Linked DNA regions of Caenorhabditis elegans. The protein of the gene in region 2 purifies or fractionates together with the protein of the main gene of each other region. This does not show direct contact. Each region holds a gene or a part of one and is shown on either strand. Other genes may lie near its edges.

What was found.
Region 1: the proteins of mnat-1 (region 2) and xpb-1 fractionate together in Caenorhabditis elegans (co-fractionation; one large-scale study listed by BioGRID). This does not show direct contact.

What each region holds. Positions count from the first base shown.
Region 1 is NC_003281.10:11,524,965-11,529,844, reverse strand, and holds the start of xpb-1 (General transcription and DNA repair factor IIH helicase/translocase subunit XPB), read right to left. Parts: upstream 3,189-4,880; 5' UTR 3,164-3,188; coding exon 3,061-3,163; intron 3,007-3,060; coding exon 2,906-3,006; intron 2,553-2,905; coding exon 2,442-2,552; intron 1,557-2,441; coding exon 627-1,556; intron 1-626. Other genes in the region: Y66D12A.16 (Spen family transcriptional repressor), read right to left, coding at 3,384-3,550.
Region 2 is NC_003280.10:2,473,010-2,480,865, forward strand, and holds mnat-1 (CDK-activating kinase assembly factor MAT1), read right to left. Parts: upstream 5,603-7,856; intron 5,344-5,602; 5' UTR 5,340-5,343; intron 5,321-5,339; 5' UTR 5,320-5,320; coding exon of another isoform or gene 5,312-5,319; 5' UTR 5,268-5,311; coding exon 5,179-5,267; intron 4,355-5,178; coding exon 4,148-4,354; intron 3,433-4,147; coding exon 3,319-3,432; intron 3,257-3,318; coding exon 3,166-3,256; intron 2,503-3,165; coding exon 2,248-2,502; intron 1,330-2,247; coding exon 1,237-1,329; intron 1,183-1,236; coding exon 1,099-1,182; 3' UTR 503-1,098; downstream 1-502. Other genes in the region: F53G2.12 (Complex 1 LYR protein domain-containing protein), read right to left, coding at 5,312-5,319, 5,603-5,798, 5,999-6,067; F53G2.3 (uncharacterized protein), read left to right, coding at 7,390-7,420, 7,467-7,570.

The DNA.
Region 1 (4,880 bases), on a different chromosome or scaffold from region 2:
AAAAATCTAAAAATTTTCCTTTTTCGATTTCCAATTTTTCGATTTTCACGTGGTGGCAGGCTGTCCAATTACGGTTTGATCTACAAAAAATGCGGGAATTTTTTGCCCAAAAAATGTGACGTAAGCACACGTTGTTAACCATGCGAAATCGGTTGAGAACTCTGCCGCATTTTTTGTAGATCTACGTAGACCAAACCGAAATGAGGCACTCTGACCAAGGGTGTCGGTTTTTCGATTTTTCAAAAAATTGAAATCGAAAAATCGAAAATTCTCGATTTTTCAAAAAATTGAAAAATCGAAAATTCCCGATTATTCAAAAAATCGAAAAATAGAAAATTCTCGATTTTTCAAAAAATTGAAAAATCGAAAATTCCCGATTTTTCAAAAAATTGAAAATCGAAAATTCCCGATTATTCAAAAATCGAAAAATCGAAAATTCTCGATTTTTCAAAAATTAGCTCGAAATTTTCTTCATTTTTTGAAAAAATTTTAATTTTTTTCTCATCAATTATTTTTTATGGTTAATTTTTCGATTTTTCAGAAAATCTAAAAGTCGAAAATTTTTCAATTTTTTTCAGATTTTCCTCTAAAATTCTTCATTATTTTTCCACTCCTTCCACTCCAACCTTGGTCGCATCGGCTCCCGACGGTGCTGGATCCTTCGCCTCTCTAGTAAACCTGACAAGCTGTTTATCCTGAATCGTGCTCCAAAGCTTAAACTGAGCCCTCCACTGTTCGACAGAAACATTGGAATTCGCCAACACTAAACATCTCTTGTTAACCGTCGTCACAGCAGTCACTCCGACAAGCGTCTTTCCGGCTCCACACGGCAGAACAATCACACCACTTCTCGCACGACTATTTCCAAACATTTTCCGTAGGGATTTCTCCTGGTACGGACGAAGTGTAGTCGATGGTTTCAGATCAATTCCAAGGTTCGGATTCAAAGTGTCATTTCTGAAGTCGTACTCGGCGAGCAGTGGATACTCAAGCTCGATACATCGTTTTTGCACTGTTTCGATCGTTTCTTGTTTGATCTCAAACGTTAGAAGTTGCAAATTTCGAATCTCTGCGTCTTCCTCATCATCTCCATCGATTTTCCCGTAGAATTCATCAATATCAGCTGGAACTTTTCCATCTGTCGCCGCCGCCGCCGTACCGTCTGCTGCTGCTCCATCCTTTTCCACACCCTTCTCATTCTCATTTCCATGTGAGAATTTGATTTTTTCCTGTGCAGGAAGCTCGGTTTGCTGAGCAGGTTGCACACGATCATCTAGAATACACGACTGGATCACAGAGTCCTTGAGAAGCTTCTGCATAACATCGGAATGTCGCGATTCGACAAAGTATCTGTTATGCTTGAGCACAAGCTTAACCTTTCCGTAGCTCACAGTGCACATTTGAACGAATGTGATGACTCCTTTTGGCAGTTGACTTTTACTTAATCGTTCCAGGTATTCAATGATATCTTTTGTTTGTAGGCCAACTGATACAGCTGCGTAGAGAGAATAGGCAGTTAGCTGGTATTCGTGGATGTGTTGTGGACGGCAGACGGGCTGAAAATTGGAATATGTAGCAGGGATGGGTGGCGATTGCAGTTCGGCAAATTTTTTTCTCGATAAATTCTGCAATTTGCCGGACTTTTTAAATCCGGCACTTTGACGATTTGCCGGAAATGTCAAATTCGGCAAATCAGCTATTTACAAGACACGTTCAATTCCGGCAATTTGCCGATTTGCCGGAATTTTAAACTCCGGCAATTTGTCAATTTGCCGGAAACTTTCAATTCCGGCAATTTGCCGATTTGCCAAAAAATTTCAATTCCACCAATTTGCAGATTTGCCGGAAAATTTCAATTCCACCAATTTGTCGATTTGCCGGAAACTTTCAATTCTGGCAATTTGCAGATTTGCCGGAAAATTTCAAATCCGGCAATTTGCCGATTTGCCGGAATTTTAAACTCCGGCAATTTGTCGATTTGCCGGAAACTTTCAATTCTGGCAATTTGCAGATTTGCCGGAAACTTTCAATACCGGCAATTTGCCGATTTGCCGGAAATTTTCAATTCCGGCAAGTTGCCGATTTGCCGGAAAATTTAAATCCCGACACTTTGACGATTTGTCGGAAATTTTCAATTCTGGCAATATGTGTAAGAGATAATCGAAAAATTGAAAAATCAGAATTTCGATTTTTTTTTTTTGGAAAAATTTAATATTTGTTAATTTTAGGCTCAAATTTTCAGTCATTTTCCATGAAAAAAAAGTGCTGAACCTCTAAAATTGACCTGAAAAGCACTAATTTGGAATTTTTTACGGAAAAAAAAATTAAAAAATCAAAAAAAAATTGGCCAAACATAATTTTTACAAATAAATCTTTTCAGATGAATCAAATTTTTTTAAATGAATTTTTTTCAGAATTAACTGAAAAAAGACGTTAATAACCTCTGAAATTGCAATTAAAAAGTCCCTGGCGTGCTTGTAAACCGGGCTGAACGACTCGAGGAAAATATGACCATCCGGAGCAACCCACAGCGGTCTTGCAGTGAAATCACCCTGAAAATTGTGAATTTTCAATTAAAATTTGCCAATTTGGGTTGAAAAACTCGAAAAAAAGTGTTTTTTAACGATTTTTTGACCGAAAAAAACAAAAAAAAATAGCAAAAATTCGTAACTTTTTACATTTTTCAGACCGAAATTATTTTAGAATAAAGTAATTTTTACGATTTTCCCTGGAAATTAACCAAATTTTCGATATTTCGGGGGAAAAATCGTTAATTTACTGAAAATTGGGTGAAAAAATCATGAAAATTAGGGTTTTTTTGCCAAAAAATTGTAAAAATTGCCATTTTTCTGGGTTTTTCAAGCTTGTCAGACCATTTTTTCGAATTTTTAGAGCTTCTCCATACTTTCAATGGCATATCCTTTCGATAATCTTTGGCTCCAAACTCATCAGTCATCACTGACGACGCATTTTCTCCGTTCAAATTGTGCGAGGCAGCTTTTGGAACTAAAAATTTAATTTTTTAATTCGAAAATTTCCAGGAAAAGAGCCCCGCGTTACCAGAACTAGTTTCCTTGTCAGCATTTCCAGAATACAATGATGGAGCTTCTTCTGCTTTGTAGGTATCCCATTTTCCGCGTCGTTTTCGCTCTTTCGTCGCCATTTCTTTTGGAAAATTGAAAATTCGTCTAAAATACGAAAAAAAAGGAAGAAAACCGGGGGAGAAAAAGTACGCAAATACAGCGAAATTCACGACAATATGCAGACACAGGAGAGGAGCCAGAGGGGAGACATATAAATTTATAAAACAGCTAGTTCTTTTCACTAGACTTTCATAATAAAACAAAAAACAAAAAAAAAAACGAATATTTATAAATAAACATTTAATTCGATCCATATTGGGCGGCGGTGATCACGTGTACGTTGGGCGGCAGATTTTTGGGAAATTGAATGACGTTCGTTTCTTCGAAATAGACATTTCCTTCGCAGGCCACGGTGCGGCGAGACTCGATTTTTATAGTTTCGTGGACTGTTTCGACGGCTGAAATGGCTGAAATTAACAAAAAAATTGTTCATAATTATTAGAACGCGATCTCTCGCGGCACCTCACGAACTCCAGAATTCGCGGGAACTCGTTTCGCGGGGACAGCAGTTTTTGGCTTCTATAGGAAATTATTTTTATTTTTTTGTTTTATAATATTCTTGAGAAGCATCATCCGAATTTAAAATGTGTGAAATTATGAAATTTGACCGAAAACTGAAGGTTTTACAGGAAGGATTCGCTACGGCTTTCTTTAAAATGTATCAGAATCGTCAGTTTTTCGATTTCAGTCGTAAAATATGCCATTTTGTAGAGAAAAGTCTGTTTCACAAAAATCCATGTTTGACATTTCAAAATTGTTTTTATTTAAAACCTGAAAAATCGAAAAAATAAGCTTTTAAAGGTGGAGTAGCGCCAGTGGGGAAATTGCTTTAAAACACGCATATGGTACCACAATGACCGAATATCATGATAAAAATTTTTTCTAGATTTTATATGATTTTTTGAAAATTGAAAAAATCTCAGTTTTGCCTAATTCCTATTTGAATTACCGCCAATTGGATTTGTTCGATGGAGCGCGCTTGCACGTTTTTATTTTTATTTATTGTTATTTTTTCTTATTTTTCACCGACTTTTCATGTTTTCAGTGTATTTTTGTCTGAAATTTGAAGAAAAAGTCAAAATAAATGCTAATTTTCGATTAAACAGCACGCTTACAGGCGTTAAATTAAAAAAATGCATTTAAGCGATTTCGAACCCGAATTAATTAATTTCAAAAAATAGCATTTATTTTGACTTTTTCTTCAAATTTCAGACAAAAATACACTGAAAACATGAAAAGTCGGTGAAAAATAAGAAAAAATAACAATAAATAAAAATAAAAACGTGCAAGCGCGCTCCATCGAACAAATCCAATTGGCGGTAATTCAAATAGGAATTAGGCAAAACTGAGATTTTTTCAATTTTCAAAAAATCATATAAAATCTAGAAAAAATTTTTATCATGATATTCGGTCATTGTGGTACCATATGCGTGTTTTAAAGCAATTTCCCCACTGGCGCTACTCCACCTTTAAAAGCTTATTTTTTCGATTTTTCAGGTTTTAAATAAAAACAATTTTGAAATGTCAAACATGGATTTTTGTGAAACAGACTTTTCTCTACAAAATGGCATATTTTACGACTGAAATCGAAAAACTGACGATTCTGATACATTTTAAAGAAAGCCGTAGCGAATCCTTCCTGTAAAACCTTCAGTTTTCGGTCAAATTTCATAATTTCACACATTTTAAATTCGGATGATGCTTCTCAAGAATATTATAAAACAAAAAATCAAAAAT
Region 2 (7,856 bases):
ACCGAATTTCACGAAATTTTTGAATTTTGAGTTGAAAACTGAAGTTTAAGACGAGAATTGGGCAAGAAAATTGAATTTCAAATCAGATTTCACAAAAAATCGCTCAAAATTCGAAAATCGGTTCAAATTCGGTGTTTGCGTACTTCTGGCGCTACAGTAACCCGGGAAAATTCAAAATTAAGCTAGAAAGCTCTAGTTTTCATATTTTCAGGCTCATTTTTTGTGTAGAATCCGAAAATCCGGCGTACCGATTCCTGAAAATCCTGCAAAAAAAGTTGGGCGGGCTGTACGTCGGGTCCTCCGCTGTAGAATGCGTCGATCGCTCGACACACCGTTTCCATAGAATCCATGTGATTTTGTTCTGAAAATTAGAGGAAAAATTGAGAAATCTTCTGAAAACTGTTAAAAAATCGCTGAATTTGAACAAAAAATTGGGGAAAAGACGAGAAAATCGATAAAATTTGGTTAAAAAACCCAATAAAATCCAAATAATTGAAACAAAATTTGAGTGACGGAAAAATCGTTTAATTTGTAAAAAATGAGGAAAATCTATGAGAAAAAAGCCTAGAAAATCAGAAAAAATACCAAAAAATGGGTGGAAAAAGAGCACAAAATTTGAGAGAAACTGGCCAAAAATAGGGAAATAATGGGAGAAAAATGCTCGAAAATGAGCAAAAAATGGACGGAAAATCTACAAAAAAATGGTCAGAATTAGGGGAAATTAGGCTCAAATGAGCAAAAATCGGGGGAAAAATGCTCCAAAATGAGCAAAAAATGGTAAAAATTAGGGAGAAAAAAACTTAAAATTCAGCTGAAAAAGGCCGAAACTAGGGAAAAATTAGGGGAAAAATTGAGAGAAAATGGACGAAATTTAGGTTAAATAGGCTCAAAAAAGAGCAAAAAAATAGAAGAAAAAGCTCACAAAAGAGCAAAAAAAATGAACAAAAAATCTACCAAAAAGGACAAAAATTGGACGAACAATCTATCAAAAAATGTTCAAAAATGAGCAAAAAATGACCAAAATTCAGGGAAAAAACGGCTCAAAAAAGAGCAAAAATGCTCAGAAATCAACGAAAAATTATCCGAAAAATCAATAATTTAGAACGAAAACAAATCGATTCGAGCCTCAAAAAGAGCACGTGAGCATCCGAGCATTGGAGTGTAGCCGCCGGCAATGTATTCCTGTAAATTTTCCAATCTTTGGCTGAAATGTGGCCGAAAATCGCTGGAAATTACCGCAGTGGGCTGTCGAATGTGAGCCAGATAGCCGAGAGCCTCGATTTCCGAAACATTTGGCATTGGTGGACCATTGATAACCAATTCGAGGGGCTGAAAAATTGAAATTTAAAAAATTTAAAGATTTTTCCGACTGAAAATCAATTTTCAATAGCAAATTCGAATTCTCCGCAAAATTTTGCACTACACCGCGAAAACTAGGCCTTTCTAGCTCAATTTTGAAATTTCCCGGGTTACGATAGCGCCAAAAGTACGCAAACACCGACTACAGTACCCCCAAAACACCCGATTTTACACGATTTTCGAATTTTGAGCTGAAAATTTAGGAATAGACTAATTAAATGGCAGAGAATTCGGATTTCTTATCGAAAATTCGTTAAAAATTTTTTTTAAACCGGCTAAAAGTCAAAATTTCAATTTCCAGCAGAAATTTGAACGGCTCTGCAAATTTTCATTGTGGAATTCGAATTCCTCGTCATTTTATTAGTCTAATCCTAAATTTTCAGCTCAAAATTCGAAAATTGCGTCAAATCTGGTGTTTTGGGTTACTGTAATCGGTGTTTGCGTACTTTTGGCGCTACCGTAACCCAAGAAATTTCAAAATTGAGCTAGAAACCTCTAGTTTTTGCAGTTAAGGGTGAAATTTTGCGGAGAATTCAAAATTGAGCTTTTAAATTCGAAATTCCGATATCCAGATCCTATTTTCTAGGATTCTTTAAAAAATACGAAAATTCCGAGGTTCAAATCTTTTTCTGCAAATTTTCATTGTGAAATTCGAATTCCCCGCCATTTTATTAGTCTATTCCTAAATTTTCAGCTCAAAATTCGGAAATCGCATAAAATCGGGTGTTTCGGGGGTACTACCGTAACCCTCGAAAACTCAAAATTGAGCTCTAGTTTTCGAATTTAAGACTGGATTTTCACGGAGAATCGGAAAATTGACTTGAAAATCTGAAATTTCGAGTGGAAAAGCTGCATTTTTTCGATTTCTTCCGAATTTTCATGTCCAACCTGGTGAACATAAGCCCTTCCGGCAACACGAATGACCGTATTAAACGACATATTCTCGGCGGCACGTTTTCTCGTCTGTAACATCTCCTTATTTCGGCGTTTTCGTTTCTCCTGTTCCTCCTTTTCCTCGAGTTCCTTTTCGATTTGCTTTTTACGTTCCCGATCCAGAATTACTTCGGCCGCCACATTCGAATCGCGAAGTTCGTCCATAATTTTCCGGGTGTCTGTGACTGCGGAGGCGGCTTCTTGTTCTTTCTGCAAAAAAAAAAATTGAAAAAATTTCAAAATTTTTGGAAAAAATCTCAAATTTAACAAATTTCCCTATACATAATCAAATTCCCCACAAATTTCACCCTTAACTGCAAAAACTAGAGGTTTCTAGCTCAATTTTGAAATTTCGCGGGTTACGGTAGCACCAAAAGTACGCAAACACCGAATTTCACGAAATTTTCGAATTTTAAGCTGAAAACTTGAGAATAGACAGAAAAAATAGCGGAGAATTCGAATTTCTAAACGAAAATTTGAAGAAATCTGTTTAAAGTAATGAAAAATTGGAAAATCTCAAAGTTTTTGTAGATTTTTATGGAAAATTCAAATTTGAAATTGAAAATTCTGAAATTTCATTATCAAATTCGAATTCCCCGCCATTTTCTTAGTCTAAAACCCAATTTTCAGCTCAAAATTCGAAAATGACGTGAAATTCGGTGTTTTGGGGTACTGTAGCCGGTGTTTGCGTACTTTTGGGGCTACCGTACCCCTCAAAGTGTCAAAAGTGAGCTGGAAACCTCTAGTTTTCGCGGTTCTGACCGAAATTCGACGGAGAACCTGAAAATCATGATGATAAGCTGGGTTTTTATGGATTTTTCATCCGAAAACTGGAATTTTTTCTAATTTTCGTCCAATTTCCCCAATCCTAACCGCGTCCATCTCCATATGATCCGTCATTCTCGCCTTCATCGCTCGCTCCTCACGAAGTTGGTCTTCGATCCATTTCTGATCGTCATCCAGTCTGGAAAAATCGGAATTTTCAAGAATTCGAATTTTCACATAAAAAGTTGCTCCGGGCGGTACCTTCGCTTGTTCCGATCGATTTGCTCTTTGTGCTTCTCCTCAAACGCCTGAATTTCGGCATTTGTCTCGTTGACGTTTGTCTCGAATACGAGGTTGTAGACGACTGTCTCGAATCTGAAAAATTGAAATTTTGAATTCGAGGGGCTGAAAAAATGAAATTATTGAAAATTTTTATAATTTCGGAGCTGAAAATTGTCTGAAAATCAATTTTATCTCGCAAATTCGAATTCTCCGCAAACTTTCAGTCGGAAAACTGAAAACTAGAGGTTTCTAGCTCAATTTTGAAATTTCCCGGGTTACGGTAGCGCCAAAAGTACGCAAACACCGTCTACAGTACCCCAAAACACCAAATTTCACGCGATTTTCGAATTTTGAGCTGAAAATTCAGGATTAGACCAAGAAAATGACGGAGAATTCGAATATCTTATCGAAAATTCGTAGAAAAAATTCTTAAAATTTTTGAACCGTCTAAAATTCGAAATTTTAATTTTCACTGGAAATTTCAGCGGTTCAAAAAATTTTCTGCAAATTTTCATTACGATATTCGAATTCTCCGCCATTTTCTTAATCTATTCCTAAATTTTCAGATCAAAATTCGAAAATCGCGTGAAATTCGGTGTTTTGGGGTACTGTAGTCGGTGTTTGCGTACTTTTGGCGCTATCGTAACCCTGGAAATTCCAAAGTTGAGCTAGAAGGTTCTAGTTTTCGATTTTCAGGCTGAAATTTCACGGAGAATCTGAAAATTGAGCTGAAAACACTGGAATTTCAAGTTTTCAGGCATTTTTTTCCGTTTTTTCGCTCAAAATTCGACGATTTCTGCCATTTTACCTCTCCTGATAGTCTCCAAACTCTCGAAGATTCTCAAAATCATCCTGTTTCAGATTATAGATTTTTCTGAGTTTTCTTCGGAGAAAAGTCTCCTTATCGATAAGTGGATCCTCGTAGATTTGTTCTCGGAAATTATTTTTTCGAAGGACCCGGTTGCAGACGTGACAGTTGCCAGAATTCAATGCGAAAATGTTGTCCACACAGTTTCTGAAAAAATCGCAAGTTTTTGGGGTGGAAAATGAAAATTTGGGCATAGCTTCCGCATCCCCGGTGACAAATGTGCCCTATTGCACAAATTGTTGGCTGGAATACGGTATTTATTGCATGTTTCAGCCGAGAATACCAACTATTCAAACCATCAATTATGATAGAAGCACACAAGTCACAAAAATTTATGAAGTTTTAGGGAATTTATTGGAATTTTTTGGAATTTTGAATTAAAAATACCAGCTTTTTCTAAATTTTTTTGAAGAAAATCTCAAATCCTCGAGGTTATTTCAATTTTTTTTGGCTAAAAATGCCAATTTTCGAGATTTTTTTCTCGACAGACAGCGTTAAATTCAAAATTTCACAGCACGCGTTGCGGTCGCGTCGCGGTTCTAGCTAGAATTTTCAAAATTGAGCTAGAAACCTCTAGTCTTCGAATTTCCGACTGAAATTTCATGGGGATTCCAGTTTCTGAGCACAGAAAATTCGAAAATTTACTGAAAACTTGGGAAAATCGTTTTTTTTTGGGATTTCGGCTTACAATTTAAAAAAAAATGAGAGAACCCGCTATTTTTAGCGGAAATTAGTTGAAAATTGTGGAAAAATCGGTTTTTTTCCGCCAAAAATTTGCCAAAAACTGAGATTATTCTAAACTTCTGCCATTTTCGGGCTAAAATGTCGAATTTTTCCAAATTTCCAGGTAGAAAACTCGCGATTTTGCGATTTTCACGGATTTTCACGGATTTTCACGGATTTTCACACTAAAATGTCGGAATTTTTCCAATTTTTCGGCCAATATATCGATTTTCCGGGCGTTTTCTCACTTGCAAAGCGGGTGGCCACATTCATTGATCATCATGACGAGCTGCTTGTTGGTATATTCATTAGACTTGCATTTTTTGCACTCCTTCATCTTGAAAATGGAGTTTTTGGTGGATTTTTGGGTTGAAAGTGGAGTTAATGACCTGAAAAATGAGAAAATTTGGATTTTTCGCTAAAAAAGCAGGAAAAATAGAGGAAGTTAGGCGAAAATCCATGAAAAATGCATATTTTGACGCCGAAATTGGTGTAGATCAAAAATTTGCCAATTATAAGATTTTCGAGAGGAAAATGTTGAAATTCCTTGATTTTCAGCGATTTTTAAGCAATTTTTCAGCTAAAAAATTGGCAATTTCTCAATTTTTTGGGAAAAAATCCCAGATTTTCACGATTTTGTCCATTTTTCGCCGAAAATTCCAGAATATTCACCGATTTTCTGCTCCACGATGGTCTTATTGTGTGGATAAAGCTTGCAGAAGATCGCTTGACGTTTCAGCGACTCCAGCTGCTTCTGACCCTCTTCGTAGAGCTTTTTCTGCTCGGTGACGTCACAAACTGCGCGATTTGCGACAAAGTGGTCACGGATACGGCGTTGGAAGAACGATCTGTAGTTGTACTGTGGGATCTGCAAGAAAATCGGAATTTTTAACGGGAAATTGTGGGAAAAATCGAAGAAATTGATTTTTTGAGGTCGAAATTCGAAATATTTCGAATTTTTCTCGAATTTCGTCAATTTTTTGTTGATTTTCTCGTTTTTCAGCATAGTTTCCGCATTTTCCAGCTTTTTTCAGATCAAAATCGCCGAAAAACCAGCCAAAAACCAACTTTCTCAGCCTCCTTCTGCAATTGTTTGTAGAGGTTGACCCAGGCGCTCTTCGGAATTGCGGAGCTCATGAAATTCACTAACCCTGCAATTTTAGCTACTTTTTCTGTGAAAATTTGCAAAAAAATCGGTGAAAATCGAATGAAAATCGCTAAAAATCGAAGAATTTCGTTTCAAAATCCGTTGAAAATAAGTGATGCGCGTCGGGTCTGGTGTATTGTACGCAAACACCACAGACAAAAGATAAACATTGCGGACTTTTGCACACTTTTGCACAATTTTAAGAGAAATCTGCATTTTAAAATAAAATTAACAAATAATTTATTGAAAATAGAAAAAATTTGAATAAAAATTTTCAAATATGAGGCTAAATTCAAAGTTGAAAACTGAATTTCAGGCGGTTTCATTGTCATTGGAAAAAGTTCGATTTCATCTTTTAAAATTATTTTCCAGATTTTCTAATCCTCATTTTCGATGTCTACACCAGCTTTATCAGCCTACTCCGGAGTTTTCAGACAAAACAAGTGAAAATCGGCTGTTTTGGGGTACTGTAGTCGGTGGTTGCATACTATCGGGGCTACCGTAACCCTCGAAATAACGACCGGTAAAAAATTGTGGAAAAATTGGGAAGAATCGAAAAAATCTTATTTCTTCTTTATTTCTCTTATTTCTAAAAATCTATATTTGCACTTGCAATTCCTACTCCAGGCATATACATATCCATTTAAAAGCTCTAATTTTTCTACGTTGATTTTGTTATTAATATTTGCCCTTTTACCGGCAAAAGTCATACCCGGCAAAGCGGCAAATCGCCAAATTGCCGGTATGGAAAATTTCCGGCAAATAGGAAAACCGCCAAATTGCCGGTTTTGAAAATTACTGGCAAATCGGAAATTCGCCAAATCGCCGGAATTGAACATTTCCGGCAAATGGGCAAATTGTCGGAATTGAAATACCCGACAAATCGGCAAATCAGCAAATTGCCGGAATCGAACACTTTCGGAAAATCGGCAAACCGGTAAATTGTTGGAATTGAAAGTTCCGGCAAATTGGCAAATCGGCAATTGCCGGAATTAAGAATTTCGGGCAAATGGGCAAATTGTCGACTTGCCAAATTTGCCGGAAAACTTTCAGAATTTAGTTTTAATTGGCAAATTTGTACGCACCCCATGAATGCTTCTATGTACATCTATAAAAAATCCCTGAAAAAAATTCCGGCAATTTGCCGAAATTTTCTGGCAAATCGGCAAACCGGCAAATTTCCGACTTACCGAATTTGCAGGAAAATAAATTTTGAAATATCGCGTTTACGCAAACTTTATGAACTCTGAAATAAAATTCCCTATAAATACAAACCACCAAAAGTTCAAATTTTAGCTTTTTCAACTTAAAAATGCTTAAATCAATTATCCTCTTGATTTGCGGTGAGCACTATTTTTTGAGTTTCCCATTTATTTTTGGCTTTTTCAGCTCATTGTGCATTTTCGGATAGATTGGACGCTGGAAGTCAGGCGGATTGTGTGGCTGCTGCCAATAAAATCTACAACAACGAATGGGGATTTGATCATAAATTGGTACATTTTTCAAGCAGTTCAATAGAGCGCACTTTCACACTGAATAGAGAATTTTATAATCTACAACTTAGTCTCTTGGATCAACTTTCTAGAATGTCGTTAAAAGACGTTATGGCGAAAGTGCAATGGAGCGCACTTGCACCATGGAAAATTAAACCAGCTAAACTAAAAGTCGCGTAACTTTCTGCTAATTTTGCCTAGAAAGTTGGAGCAAAACAAAGTTGTAGAGCTTAACATTCTCTATCATTTGAGGTAAAATTTGGAAAAAATTAATCAATGAGTATGT